2 linked regions of the Schizosaccharomyces pombe genome follow. The protein of the gene in region 2 binds, or shares a complex with, the protein of the main gene of each other region. Each region holds a gene or a part of one and is shown on either strand. Other genes may lie near its edges. A codon is read from its position in the direction of its gene.

Region 1 (4,634 bases), 260 kb from region 2:
CCATCCTAGCAGAGCTAGGAAAAGCATTCAAAGCCTATCTTAGTTAGATTTTCGTTTATATTTATCACTTTTTTAATTAATCTTACTGTAGGATTCGCTACTTGAGGGGGAATAAACGATTTCAAAGGAAATGGAGCCATGATTACAATTAAGTTAAAGTGAATATGGTGATGTTCAATTCCCGTCGTATATAGCAAAGGAACTTGCAATGAATGGTTAATGGATTTTTTTTTTCTTAAACAAAAATAGCGTATTGTTTTGTAAATTTCGTTAAACGTTCTAAAAAATCAGGGATTTTTTTCTTTCTTCTATAAGAAACTATCCTTGCTAATTTGCTATTTTTTTACTTTTCAAATTCTGTTTGTTATTAGTTTATTTTTTAAGACTTCATAGCTGCTTTCACAATTAGTTACTTCAGTCAAGTACTCGTCAGCATGAAGTAAAGGCATTCTAAAAACTACAAGTAGATAGATATTTATGTAAATCGATTCAAAAAGATTAGCTCGTTAATAAAAATGGAATCATTTGTCAAAACAGTATATCTAAGGCTGCCCGTATGATAAGCCCACTTCCAGCGATCACATCTTCTTTCTTAGCTCAGACAAAGATATTTTAAAACTTCAATAAATCTGGCAACTAGAAGAGTATGCTAGTATGCATATTTTGCTTACATATTATCATCAGGGCTGAAATAGGACACATGATAACCGGCCAAATGTTTCAATCCTCTTGGCCAATTGTAATTTTAAATCTTCATTTTCTGATTCTAAACTCTTCCTCTCCAATTGTTTTTCTTCAATGGAGTTTTGTAACTTTTTAATTTTCTCTAATTGATGTTTTGGTGCAGTGGAAATACCTGGAAGTTGGTTGATCAAAGTGTCTATTTGCATAAATTTTGTAACCAAGTCTTTTGCTAGATCCCTTTGAGCGACTACAAAAAGAAGTTAGCACATAAAATGACTAGAGGACGTCTAATATCGTACATTGTAACTCTTCAGCAGAAATTGGGTTCACTAATAATTTGTTAGTAGCTACTTTGAATAGCATCATAATGAATCTTGTATACCTTTAGAATCAGAAACCTTTTCTTGACCAGGTAAAGGAACGAAATCATGATGAGAACTTAAATAATGAATGGAAGAGTAAAATTGTGTGGCAACCTACATAGGTTAGAATAGAAAAAGAAAACTAGTCCCATTACCTCATCAATTGTATCTTGAAGCTGAGTACACCTACATGCCATTTTTTTATGTAGGTGTAATATGAGTTAAAAAGAGTTGAAAGTCGCAAGTTGTTGAAGGTCCATGATGCAGGTAACAATTGTTGAAGCGCAAATGTCAAGAACAATAAATCGCTAATTAACTTTTCTGTTATTTCAGCATCGGATATTTATTATGCACAGCTTTTGATTTTATGACATTGTTTGTAATTGTAATGTATCGACCTAAAAACCGACTGTCTAGCAATCGGGAAAAAGAATTAAGCTAGAATCACGCTTGACATAAGCAAAAGAAATTTAACATAAAACAGTACATAAAATTTAAAAAAAAATTAATGGAAAGCGAAAAAAAATAAACTACAGAAACTACAGAATCAGCTAAGTATTTTTAATTAACATAGAAAAACAATGATAATAGTAATACATTCGACATATTTATTATATTTTTGATCGTGGAAGGGTGTCCGAGTGGTTATGGAGCTAGTTTAAGGCACTAGTGCGAAAGCTCGTGGGTTCGAGTCCCACCCCTTTCAGTACCTTTTTGATAATCCATTCATTCTGAGTGTTTTCATATTACGTGAAGGTGCATTGTTATTAAAATTGCAGTACTCTGCTTTTAAAAAGATAGCGGACAATGCTACAAATTCAATACAATCTATCCTTTTAAGCAAACATAAATCACTAAATGTTTAACGAATATGCTACTACGGGTCTTGAATATTCACAATATTCTTTTATTAGGAAATGCATTAACCACCGGTACCTTATAATATTCTTACGAAGTGGGTACACACTGAAATAGCTCATTGGTGACCCGAAGAACGGAGGTTAATTTATTTCATAGTCTCGTATATTTGGCAGTAGTTACATCAAGAAGCAACAAATGGTGCATCACTGTCAATATATGTATATATACTATAGATAAATAAATACAAGGCATGTGACTTATATAATGATACTTAACGTAACGTACTATCATCAACGCTTTATTCAAAATAATGAAATGTGCTAAAATGTGATAAAATATTTGTGATACCGCGTTGAGAATCATATTGAAAGAGGTTGCAAATTGCTTCTTGCACCAACTTTGGCTCTTATGCACAAGCAATGTCTTCTTCCAATTGGGAAAAGTTAAAGAAGGTATGAAAGGCTATAGTTTCCATTAAGTCATTTAAGATTCTTGTTTAAGTATACTAACGGTATTGGTTGTTTAGAAACTCGACAGCGCTAAGAGTGGACGGGTTGAAAAAAAGCATTCTAATGAAAAGAAATACCTTAAAAGTGTGAAAGGTAAAAACAATGAGAATGAGAATTCTTATATCGTCGATAAAAAACGCATGAATGAATTAAAGAAATTTGCTAAGGAAAATGATATCCCTGAATCTCAAGTCCTTGACGCATATGGCGTGGATGCTTCCAAGCTTACCAGAAAAACCAATTTGGAAACATTGGGGAAATATATTGCAATGGATTGTGAAATGGTTGGGGTGGCAGATGACATGTCAGTTCTTGCACGCGTCAGTATAGTTAATTATCATGGTCATGTCGTGTATGATACTTATGTCCGTCCTAAAGAAAAGGTTACGGATTGGAGAACATGGGTCAGTGGTGTCAAGTCATTTCACATGCGGGATGCACCTTCATTTGAAAAAGTACAAGCAGAAGTTGCTAAGATACTCGACAATCGAGTATTGGTTGGACATGCTGTCCATAACGATCTCAAAGTACTACTTTTATCGCATCCAAGAAGAATGATTCGTGATACCAGCAGATTTTCTGGGTATCGGAAATTAGCCAAGGGAAGGACACCAGGGCTTAAAAAACTTGCTGAAGTGATTCTTGGGCGTGACATTCAATCTGGACAGCATTCTTCCGTCCAGGATGCCCAAGCAACGATGGAATTATATAAGAAAGTAAAAAAAGAAATGGATGAAGTTGCATTCAAAGGTTTGTCAAAGTCATAAGCTTTGAATCACTAGACTTCGTTCTGGTCATTTGGGATTTGGGTTTAATAATATGCAAGAAAATGTTTCTTATAATTTTACTGGATATGTGTCAGATGTTAAATATATTTTCGGTTGCTTATAACAGCAATATTGTTTTCATTGGCTCTTATGAAATCGTTGGTTTTCTTTCTTTATTTATCTCTTCTGTTTCCTTCGTTTCTGGTTTTAAATAGTCAATCTATTAATAATTTTTAGTATAAATAAATGATGCATACAACTGAAGGAAAGAAATAATGTATGGAAAAAACAAGGATATAGAGATTTATCAGCTTCGTTTATATGGTCTTCATAATTACTTTGTGAATTAATAAAGTTAATGTTATATAATTAGATTACTTCCTATAGTGTATATGATTTAGAGCATTTTAACTGAATGACGATAATATGTTTTCAAGCGCCGTTAAGTTAATTCCTAAATTTATATAAATACCGAATTAATCTTTATTATCACAAAAAAAATAAAAAATATATATATTAATAATAGCTACCAAATAAATTCTAGTTAGACAATGGACCATTAATGTATACATATTAATAGCTTACAAAACAGATACGGAAGTGTTTGAAAAATAAGTATTTATTCAAAGATTAAATTGCTCAACTATATGTATTATATAATCAAAATAAAAATAAAAATAGGCCAACTTGACAGGTTGTTTAAAGAAAAATTCCATTTGTTTTTAAATTTTGAATTCTTGTTATAGCATTCAGCTTGTTAAAAACCCAAGAAAAATTGGTTGATGAGCTCAATAAGCATGTTGTTTTACCCGTTTTATGGTGCGAAGGTTTCCAATGACAGAACAAAAATGATCTAGAAAGTTTCAACGATTTGAACCGGAAAATGATATATTTCAAATTATTCTAAATTTATTATTTTTGAACATTGTTACCTGGGTGCCGGCTGCTTCTTGGAACGACACAAGTGCTCTTTTACCTCCTTATTCTCATTAAACTCGCAGCAACCACAACTGTCTTAGATAACTAAAAAAAAAAGAGTAAAAAGGATATCAAAAAAGTTTATTCCTATAGAAATGGAATCGAGATATTTATCAGATAGAAGAAGCCGTTTTAAAAGCAAAGGTGTTTTCAAAGCTGATGAACTTCGTCGGCAACGTGAAGAACAGCAAATTGAAATCCGCAAACAAAAACGTGAGGAAAGTTTGAATAAACGAAGGAATTTAAACGCTGTTTTACAAAATGACATTGATGTGGAAGAGGAGGCTGATCAGTCTCAGGTTCAAATGGAGCAACAAATGAAAGATGAATTTCCTAAATTGACAGCTGATGTGATGTCAGACGACATTGAGCTACAATTAGGTGCCGTCACGAAATTCAGGAAATATCTTTCTAAGGAGACGCATCCCCCTATTGATCAGGTAATTGCTTGTGGTGTTGTTGACCGGTTCGTA
Region 2 (9,494 bases):
CCATAATAAACTGGTAATTACTTCCTGTACTTTTATCAATTAAAGTTATTAATTTATTTTAATTATTAAAGCTTTTTAATTGCAATATTCGTCTTTTTTACTTTTCCATCATCATGTTAGCAATTCACACGGATGTAACGTTATATTATGTATATATATATATAATGTCACCATATTTATGCTGTCATCCGTTTACAACACAGCATCACTTTGTCTTTCTGTTGTGAATTGCTTTATTAACATAAATTAAAGGAATAAATCCTTTTAAGAATTGTTAATAAGTCTTTATTTTATAGATAGCTACAGCAAGTGTTTGTGCGTGATGAAGATATGTCATCAGTAATTTCATGAATTAATGAGGTTTTCCTTTTTCGACTGAAATAATTGAAGAAGGTTCATATTCTTTCTTAAAAAAAAAAAAACAATATTTTTAAGTTTCTAGTATTCTCTGGAGTCATCCATGGAATTAACGAGTGTAAAATTACTTGACATTAGCAATCGACATCTGAATTAGTTTTACGAGCGATTAAAAATGAGAAAAGAAAGGCCAGGAGTATTATTTAATAAAATAAGGTCTTACTTTATTTGTCCGGGCTGTAATTGTTTGCCTGACTGGCCTGTCACACTTCCTTGTGGAGGAACAGTCTGTCGGAAATGCTTTCGAAACGCATATTCTTCGGAAAGCTCTGGAAAAGTTAGTCCCTCAAGATGTTGCTTTTACAACCATAAGAAACCGCATTATTCTGTAGAGACCGAAGTGAAAGATGTGATCATTTCCAAAGTGGTTGAATTGATTAAAACTACAGAGTTTCAAATTTCTCAGCAGAGTTTGGTACCGCTGGAATTAAAGGAGGAAATTTGTCATGACGATTGTCTTTCTTCGTCACCACCTTGTACTTCTGCATTGACTGAAATTACTCTGCTGCCTCCCACTTTTCATAACTTAATACCTTCCTCATCTTCTTATGAGACTGCAGTAGCTGAATTTTTACATATGGAGGACCTATTACAAGAGAATGTTTCTCGAGAATTGGAATGTCAAATTTGTTTTGGCATGCTTTATGACCCAGTTGTTTCTCCATGTGGACATACATTTTGTGGCCCTTGCCTTATGCAAGCACTAACCCAGTCTCCTCAATGCCCGACTTGTCGTTTTGGGCTCCCATCTCCTGTTGTGTTGGAACATGCGAAAAGCCACTCTATTACCACATTTTTGCGAGATTTTTACCCAGATAATTGGTTAGAACGTCAAAAATCATGGGAAGAAGAAAAGGAACAGGAAAGTTGGCTTCCGTTATTTATTAGCATGCTTGCATATCCCAGAATGCCGACATTCCTTCATATTTTTGAACTGCGATACCACATCATGATCAAAAAATGTCTGGAGACTTCTAAGCGATTTTGTATTGCAATGCCTTTAAGAGCACGAAGTGATGGTCATAATGAGCATCGAGAGCTTCGAAATGCTCGTGGTCAACGTCTTTTTTGTTCTGAGTATGGTACAATTTTAGAAATTATCCAAGTCGAGCCTTTGATCGATGGGAGAAGTCTTGTAGAAGCCCGTGGTTCATATTGTGTTCGTATAATCGATTTTCGAGCTGATGGTTTGTTTCCGAGAGTGAAAATTGAAAAGCACTATGATACTCCTTTGAGAGCCACTCCACTCCAATTTCCTGAGCCTGAATATCTATTAATGTATGGTAATCTAAGTAATGAAGAATTAGTTGAAAGAATAGATGCTTTTTACATGAATGCCCGCCGAACATATGTTCATTGGGTTGTACCTTTAATCGATATAAAAATGGAGGCTAGACAGTCAATTGCTGACTTGTCTTACAAAATCACCAATCTTCTTCCTATCTCAGAGCTTGAGAAAACTCGCATTTTGCAAGTTGACAACCCGACCGATCGACTGGTTTTGGTTCTTATTTGGTTAACTCAACTTCAAGAAAGTTGGTGGTATCGTGTTGGAAGTGCTTGCACCATTGCTTGAGTTTTAATTGTAGTTGAAGTCGCGCGCCCTTTGTATGGGCCATAAAATATAGCCTTTGATTTACTGAAAGGTTATCTCGAAAACGATCAAAATACATCTAATTACCCTATACAAATGAGCACTTAATTCTTGGCATCTGAGAATATCTGGGGTTGATTGTCATGAATATTTCTTTGACCAATTTAAAAACACCCATGCCAATACAGCAAGAATTCTCTTTTTGTTTCACACTTTATTTAATAGTTGATGTTTGCAACTTTTAATATTTATTTTTCTTGATGGTTTTTTGTTTATTACTTTTTCACTGTGAAGATATTTTAATAGTATAATCCAAAATAATTTTGGTTTTCGTTATCTGCTGATGAAGTAGATTTTGGCATTATAGAGAAATTAATTTTCTGCTCTTACTAGTTCACATTTCATATTCACTAGTTTAAGAATACAAGTTTCAATTGACGAAGTGGTCTCTGTCTTTTTCTTACTTAGGCATTGGTTAAAGTAAATTTATAACCCCTTTTGTAATATTGCTAACATATGTGGAAAGGCACCTTTACTCCTCTATACTTGATCTTCAATTGATTTGCTTGGTGGGTTAGGTGAATACTACATATGAAGCATGGAGGCACAATAAATTATCGTTTGATTTTTCATGCGCGTTAACTAATTAATATGGAAATTACAAAATAATAAATCTGATGGTCTTCTCAAGGTGGAGCATTTGTAGAGCACTACTTAGTGTTGGTTCCTCACTGTCCATTCACCACAACAGGTAGAAATTTTTTGGCGAGCTTAAGATTATCGAATATGGAGGATTATGGTTCATATAGTACACCATTGACAGCAAGATATGCTTCTGCTGAAATGTCTCATCTCTTTTCAAGAGAAATGCGTATTAATACTTGGAGACAATTGTGGTTGAATCTCGCCATTGCTGAAAAGCAACTCGGTTTAACTCAAATTACTGATGAAGCTATTGAGCAACTTAAAGCGCATGTCAAAATTACAGCTCCAGAATTTGAAATCGCTGCTAAGGAAGAGAAGCGTCAGAGACACGATGTTATGGCTCACATCTATACATATGGTCTTGCTGCTCCTGCTGCTTCTGGTATTATTCATTTGGGTGCTACTAGCTGTTTTGTAACCGATAATGCTGACTTGATTTTCTTACGCAGCGCCATGGATCTTTTGATCCCTAAGTTAGTCAACGTTATCAATCGTCTTAGCCAGTGGTCTTTGCGATACAAAGACATTCCTACTCTTGGGTTTACACATTATCAACCAGCTCAATTAACTACCGTTGGTAAGCGTGCCACTCTTTGGATTCAAGAGCTTTTATGGGATTTGAGAAATTTTGTAAGAGCTAGAAATGACATTGGTTTCCGTGGTGTCAAGGGTACCACCGGCACTCAGGCTTCCTTCTTAGCCCTTTTTGAGGGCGATCATGCCAAGGTTGAGGAATTGGATAAATTGGTTGCCAAGCTTTCCGGTTTTGATAACGTTTATCCTGTAACCGGCCAAACCTATGATCGTAAGATCGATATTGACGTTTTGCAACCATTAGCTTCTTTCGGTGCTACTGCTCATAAGATTGCAACTGATATCCGTCTCCTTGCTAATTTGAAAGAAGTAGAAGAGCCATTTGAGGCTGGTCAAATTGGCAGTTCTGCTATGGCTTACAAGCGTAATCCAATGCGTTGTGAACGTATTTGTTCTCAAGCTCGTTATATTATGAACTTGATTCCTAATGCTCTTAATACTGCTTCTGTTCAATGGTTTGAGCGTACTTTGGATGATAGCTCTAACCGTCGTTCTCTGTTACCTGAAGCCTTCTTGTTTACAGATAGCGTTCTTAAGATTCTATTGAACGTTATTTCTGGTATGGTCATTTATCCTAAGGTTATTCAAAAACACATTCGTGCTGAATTGCCCTTCATGGCCACTGAAAACATTATCATGGCTATGACTAAGCACGGTGCTAGTCGTCATGAGTGTCACGAGCAGATTCGTGTCTTGTCTCATCAAGCTGGCCGAGTAGTCAAGGAAGAGGGAGGGGATAACGACTTAATTGAGCGTATTAAGAATACTCCTTATTTTGCTCCTATTTATGATGAGCTAGATTCTTTGTTGGATGCATCCACTTTTGTTGGACGTGCTCCCGAGCAGACTGAATCCTTTGTAAATAAGGACGTCTCTCAAGCGCTTGCGCCTTTCAAGAGCATGATCACTGAGGAAAAGGTTGATCTTGCCGTTTAAATATAAATTTTGGTTTGCTTCGTAGTGGATACGAACTTTTTTGATTTGTTTAAAATAGAAAGAATACATTTTTTTCATCGTTAGTATGAATTTTTGTTTGTAAAACAAATATTAAAAGCAGAGGAAATAGCAAAATAACTCTACTAGATAAACCGGTTTATTAGCTAAGATCTCGTTTTATCACGTCTTCCATTAATTCAAGCGATTTTTTTAATTTCTCGTCATTTTTTGAGAACATAGACCTAGACTTTTGCTCATCTTCAGCGCCTGACAATGGCTTTTTTATTGACGACTTTAATTGTTGAATCACATCTCCTTCCTTCTCCATATTAAAATCTAATGATTTGTACTTTTCCAAAGTTTCGGTCATTTGCCGGTTATGAGTACGTAATAGCTCAACCTGCGACTCTTCATGTTTTAATTGTTTTTCTAAAAGCATAATTAAAGATTCACGAGATTGGTGTGGACGATAGTCATTAATTAAATGATGGAGATTGAGCAGCAACACCCTAATGTTTTCAACCTTAGAAGGAAACTGTTCGGGTGCCTTCGCCATAATCCCTAGGAGTTCAAGAAAGTTAAGCATAAGTGAGCGGGATAAAAATCGTAGTTCATAAGCTCGCCGGGGAATTTTTATCAAATCACTCGTTTCTCCATCCTTTGATTTTTGATCTGCCCGGAAACCTTCGTTTACCGAAGAAGCTGAAACAGCTCCAGTATCTTGAGAATCTAAAGGTTCCTTCATTTGTATATCCTCCTCTTCCTTTTTAAGAGAGGGCTCAGTCTTTTCCTCGACATCTTTCATTGTCTTATCAGATTCATTATCTTTTTCTTTCATGGCCGTATGTTGATCATCCTCCAGAATTTTTTCATTTTCAATTGGTGAATTTTTATCATAATCGTGTACACGAGTAAAACTAGTACCAACTATCGCATTGGATTTAGGATCATATTCTACCACTTCAATTTCATCTTCTCCATCTTTTATATCTTTATATAATTCAGGGATTCCAAATTCTTTGAGTGAAGGTATAGCTTCGTCTAGCTATAAGCGATATAAGTTAGTGAGAGATGAAAAGCAGCTAATGTAAAACAATAAAAATAAACTTACCCTCCATGTGTCACCAAACATTTGATAAGTCCCAGATGTGAGACATGACGGCTTCTTAAACAGCTTGGCCAGCGACTCTATTTCTTCTTCAGTCTTAGGTTGTAAAGTATTCGCGTCATCCTCATGTTTTGCTTCTTTCTCCATATTTGAAATTACTTTTTCTATGTTTTCTCTTGTAAATAACTTATAATATGGAGGTGGAGGCGGAAAAGCCGAAAACAGTTGTACTCCTTCGTTTGGTTCCATTCTCTTTTAGTTAAATAGTATTTATCGTAAACTAGATTTTAGATTGATGTAACTGTCTTCCCTTTTATCGCTGATTCTTAGTATAAAAATGCCTGCTCTTTTTTTTTCTTTTTTTTTTTAGAAAAGCAGTTTCTATAATGTTAAGAAAACCGTAATTGAACAACGATATGACGCTCAATAACTGATTGACATGAAAATCCTGAATATAAAAACACTTGAAAATAACCGATCTTTTGCTCAAAATGGATTTTGGAATAGTCAGTAAAAGTGGGTAGTTTTATCTGGCATATGGAATACGAAGTGAAAGCTTCTATCACCAATAAATTTTGCTATAAATTGTTTATTTCGATATCTTTAATCATTCTTGGTTTTAAATTAGTTTCACTGATTAAAGTAGCTTAAAATTATACACTTCTTGGCTTTTTTAATTTTTAGAGAATTGCAGTGTTTCTTTTAACAACACTGAATTATTCTTTTTAATAAATGGGCTTGGAAACGAATTAAGTAGGAGTTTATTACTTGTAATATTACAGCTTATCGCTATTGTTGAATGCCATAAAATCCTTAACATGAATATTTTACTAGGCCAACATAATCGTAAAATTTAAATTGATTAAGTGATAAAGTATTTTGATATTCCTCTATACGAAGGATTAGTTAGTATTGAATGGATTACAAAATCAACACATGCAATACTACGAACTTTTACATTTTCATAAATTTGTCACATAACCGTAGTAAACATATTTGTTATAACTGTTTCTTTTTAGTAATTAACTAATTTATCCATTGCTAGTGATTGTCTGCAAATTTTCGCTGCTACGGTTTGATACAGTCATCAGATACATCAAAGAAATTCAACGATAATTGATATTTGTTCAATTTTGTAAAGAAAATTAAATAAATAGCACCATATCATGATAATACCAGTTACGATAAATTGGATAAGATGCCTGGCAATATAACAATAACAAACCAATTGTTCAAACGATGACTTTTTGTAATTTCCTGCAACTAAACTAACAGTTTCGTAGCAATTAAAACAAAAACATCATTCAAATAATATACATTCACAATGCTCTATATTACTTCAGATGTCCTCGCTCCAGTTTTCCAAAGAGAAGGATAATCTGAAAAATAGTAGATGACTAGACTTTTATTTTTCGGCAGACTCAGAAATGGCTGGAGGAGCAGATTCGCCAAAGTTGTGCAGTCTCGTACCAACTAAGTATAAATCATCACGTATTCCTTGCGACCATTTACTACTAGTTTCTACAAAACGGCGCCCCAAGAGTGCTAGCCCAAGTAATGCTAAAAATATAGGATGCATCAACCGATACATAAGGGTTTTAGATGCAGAAGGGAAAATGGATGAAAGAAAAGGATAGGTTACGTAAGTAAAAACACTTGGCAACACAACGGCGGCTATTAAGGCTGATGTAAAAGGGATGAGAACATTTTTTAATAATGGAAGAATTTGAGGATTCGTCCATCTATCACGAAAAGCATCTTGAAACAACCTTGAAACGAAACGCTCTTCATTAGAAGTCACAGTAAAATATATCATACGAAGCATAAAAAGACCAATCACCCAGTTTTGGAATGCATCGAGAGCAAGAGTCCCTCTGTTAAATATCGTTCGGAAAGGTATAGCGACGTATAATTCCCATATAGCTCCAAGTAAGAGTGGTAAGATAAATATTCCAAGGAATGCTAATAAAAGATATTTTAACGCCATTACTAAGCTCCTCATAACAATTTTTAAATTTAGTTTATTCATAAGGCTTCGTAAATAGTCAAGTTTCAGAAACTTAACAGACGCGTGAATTGCATACATTGGAAAAGAAATAGAGTAAAATCCAATGGCGTAAGCATAAAAATCGTGCTTTACCACATTAGGAAAGCACCAAGCATAAATAGCTCTTCCTAATGAAAGTGGAACAAACACTAACAATACTGTCACAAGTGTTGAGCATATCCAACAAAATAACAACAAAGCGATCAAACGCTTATAAAAATTAGAAGGTGCATAAGTAATGGTATAGTCCGCATTTTCTTCGACCTTCTTTTTTTCACCAAAAATTTCATAACCATTTTCTGTCACAGGTATAAGCATGGCTCCTTGGCGAACTGGCACAACATCCTTAGAAGGACACCACAAAAAGAAACCGTCTTGGACAAAGTCTTTCTTTGCTTTCTGCTTATCACCATCATCTTGGTTTTCGGTATCCGAAGGTTTGCTTATAATCCTTCTAAGAAAAGAAAAATATTGCTTGGGATAATAACCCTCTTCATCACTATACCTTTGACCCATAACATATGATGATAGACGTAAACATCTGCAGAATGTTGACACCAAAGTTCGCCAAAAACTTCTAGTGAGTTCGAGAGGTTTAAATAATTTAATACTTAAAAATATGAGAATTTCTAACGCTAACAAGTCAATTGGTGCTTCAAACACAGCAGGCTTAGTAGTGAATTCAATAGGAAAAATTATTCCAGTTGACTTTAAAAGATGGATAACGCTACCAACACAGCCAATAATAAAAGCGAAATAGAGTATTGCACTGAATCCAATTTTCTTCAATTGAAAGAGCATAGGTTTCTCTAAAATTTCACGAATTGGATGAAATTGAGGATCATTTGGATCACGCAAAAAATACAGGACTCCAGGACGAACAATTTTACGTACCATGGAAATGAAAACCGCAAACTCAAACATAAATGTTATCCCAATGAACCATGCCAAAAAAATGCTTTGTGCTGGATAAACTGTCATTACATTGAGAAGATTCTCGGCAGCAAGCTTTTTGAAAGTGCCAATTAAGCACATGCTTAGCAATATCCCGCAGAAAATAGGAAAAACAACCAATTCGATAGAAAAAATTATTCCGAATTTTGCTATAGATCCGCATTGTCTCAAAACTTCTCTAAAAGCTAATTCCACATTCCTGATTTGAGGGTCATTAAATAGAAATTGTTTGCGATTAAGATATGAAATCCCTAAAAACGTAAACATGCAGTATCCGATAAGCGTAGTAAAAACTCGGTCTACTGGTCTATTAGAGTAATTTTCAACAAAATCTTTTAGTATGACAGCAAACATTTGGCAAACCCTGAAAACCGGAAAAATAGAAAATGATTGAACGACTTGCTTATGTCCAGTTTTCATATAATATATCAGCGATTCATAGGCATGATCGGAAGAAGAAAATACATGATCATATATCCAACTATACATATTATTTGAAACCTGTTGGAAAGAAGAAGAAAAAATTCCTTGAAGCTTAAGTTTTACGAAAACAGTTGATAACAGAGGAAGTTTAGTTAATATTTTCACAATATTAAAAGCCCCACCAACAGTCCAGTCAAATAAAATGTTAACGAAAGATAGTATAAAACGTAATATAAACGTCGGGCGATGAATGATAAACAAAATCCACTCAACCATAAGGCGTCCAGACATGTATGGAATACCCACAGCCGTTGTCAAGAATACGGAAACGACGAAAGCAATAACGAGGCAATTTTGCAAGAATCCAGTAATGGGTCCTCGAAGACCTAGAAATTCTAGTATACCGTCAAAATCGTCAGCATCATCAGCTTCAGCTATTTGGGCGGCGCGAGCAACGGCATTTCTTTCTTCGTCAGCGACGACTTGGTTTTGCGCCTCAGCTATAACATTCCTATTTAAATTATCTTCTTCAATAACCTCTTCATTCTCTGATTCATTGTTACCGTTTTCATCATCATTATTGACAATAATAGGCTCATGATCCACTCTAGTAAAATCAGATTCAATTCCATTGGCTTGGGTAACGGCTCCATCTACAATATTCTCCGAAGCATTTGAACTATGAGAGATTGAAGATTGCTCATCAACATTAAACT

Evidence for each region.
Region 1: the proteins of med7 (region 2) and srb7 are in contact, whole or in part, in a crystal structure (PDB 5N9J), measured with the Schizosaccharomyces pombe proteins. Residues at the interface, in NP_596734.1 of Schizosaccharomyces pombe: Gly203 (codon at 4,931), Phe204 (codon at 4,928), Arg205 (codon at 4,925), Ala206 (codon at 4,922), Asp207 (codon at 4,919), Gln208 (codon at 4,916), Arg224 (codon at 4,868), Ala225 (codon at 4,865), Leu228 (codon at 4,856), Arg229 (codon at 4,853), Ser232 (codon at 4,844), Arg233 (codon at 4,841), Leu235 (codon at 4,835), Met236 (codon at 4,832), Phe239 (codon at 4,823), Ile260 (codon at 4,760), Leu264 (codon at 4,748), Leu267 (codon at 4,739), His268 (codon at 4,736), Ile271 (codon at 4,727), Asn272 (codon at 4,724), Tyr274 (codon at 4,718), Arg275 (codon at 4,715), His277 (codon at 4,709), Gln278 (codon at 4,706), Arg280 (codon at 4,700), Glu281 (codon at 4,697), Leu283 (codon at 4,691), Ile284 (codon at 4,688), Leu287 (codon at 4,679); in NP_596630.1 of Schizosaccharomyces pombe: Cys3 (codon at 1,237), Arg4 (codon at 1,234), Cys5 (codon at 1,231), Thr6 (codon at 1,228), Leu8 (codon at 1,222), Gln9 (codon at 1,219), Ile12 (codon at 1,210), Asp13 (codon at 1,207), Ala16 (codon at 1,157), Phe19 (codon at 1,148), Ser22 (codon at 1,139), Ile23 (codon at 1,136), Leu65 (codon at 905), Phe69 (codon at 893), Ile72 (codon at 884), Asp73 (codon at 881), Ile76 (codon at 872), Asn77 (codon at 869), Leu79 (codon at 863), Pro80 (codon at 860), Gly81 (codon at 857), Ile82 (codon at 854), Ser83 (codon at 851), Thr84 (codon at 848), Ala85 (codon at 845), Pro86 (codon at 842), Gln89 (codon at 833), Lys92 (codon at 824), Ile93 (codon at 821), Lys95 (codon at 815).

What each region holds. Positions count from the first base shown.
Region 1 is NC_003423.3:3,912,370-3,917,003, forward strand, and holds srb7 (mediator complex subunit Med21), read right to left. Parts: upstream 1,270-4,634; 5' UTR 1,244-1,269; coding exon 1,202-1,243; intron 1,161-1,201; coding exon 1,067-1,160; exon of another isoform or gene 1,014-1,066; coding exon 984-1,013; exon of another isoform or gene 936-983; intron 932-935; coding exon 681-931; 3' UTR 501-680; downstream 1-500. Other genes in the region: atp17 (F0-ATPase subunit F), read right to left, coding at 1-34, 87-140; exoribonuclease Rex4, read left to right, coding at 2,327-2,359, 2,434-3,183; importin alpha family nuclear import signal receptor adaptor Imp1, read left to right, coding at 4,257-4,634. UniProt on the Schizosaccharomyces pombe protein: Component of the Mediator complex, a coactivator involved in the regulated transcription of nearly all RNA polymerase II-dependent genes.
Region 2 is NC_003423.3:4,168,751-4,178,244, reverse strand, and holds med7 (mediator complex subunit Med7), read right to left. Parts: upstream 5,886-9,494; 5' UTR 5,604-5,885; coding exon 5,358-5,603; exon of another isoform or gene 5,292-5,357; coding exon 4,407-5,291; 3' UTR 4,247-4,406; coding exon of another isoform or gene 2,798-4,246; 3' UTR 2,457-2,797; downstream 1-2,456. Other genes in the region: SPOM_SPBC14F5.10C (ubiquitin-protein ligase E3), read left to right, coding at 533-1,993; adenylosuccinate lyase Ade8, read left to right, coding at 2,798-4,246; ubiquitin ligase Doa10, read right to left, coding at 6,760-9,494.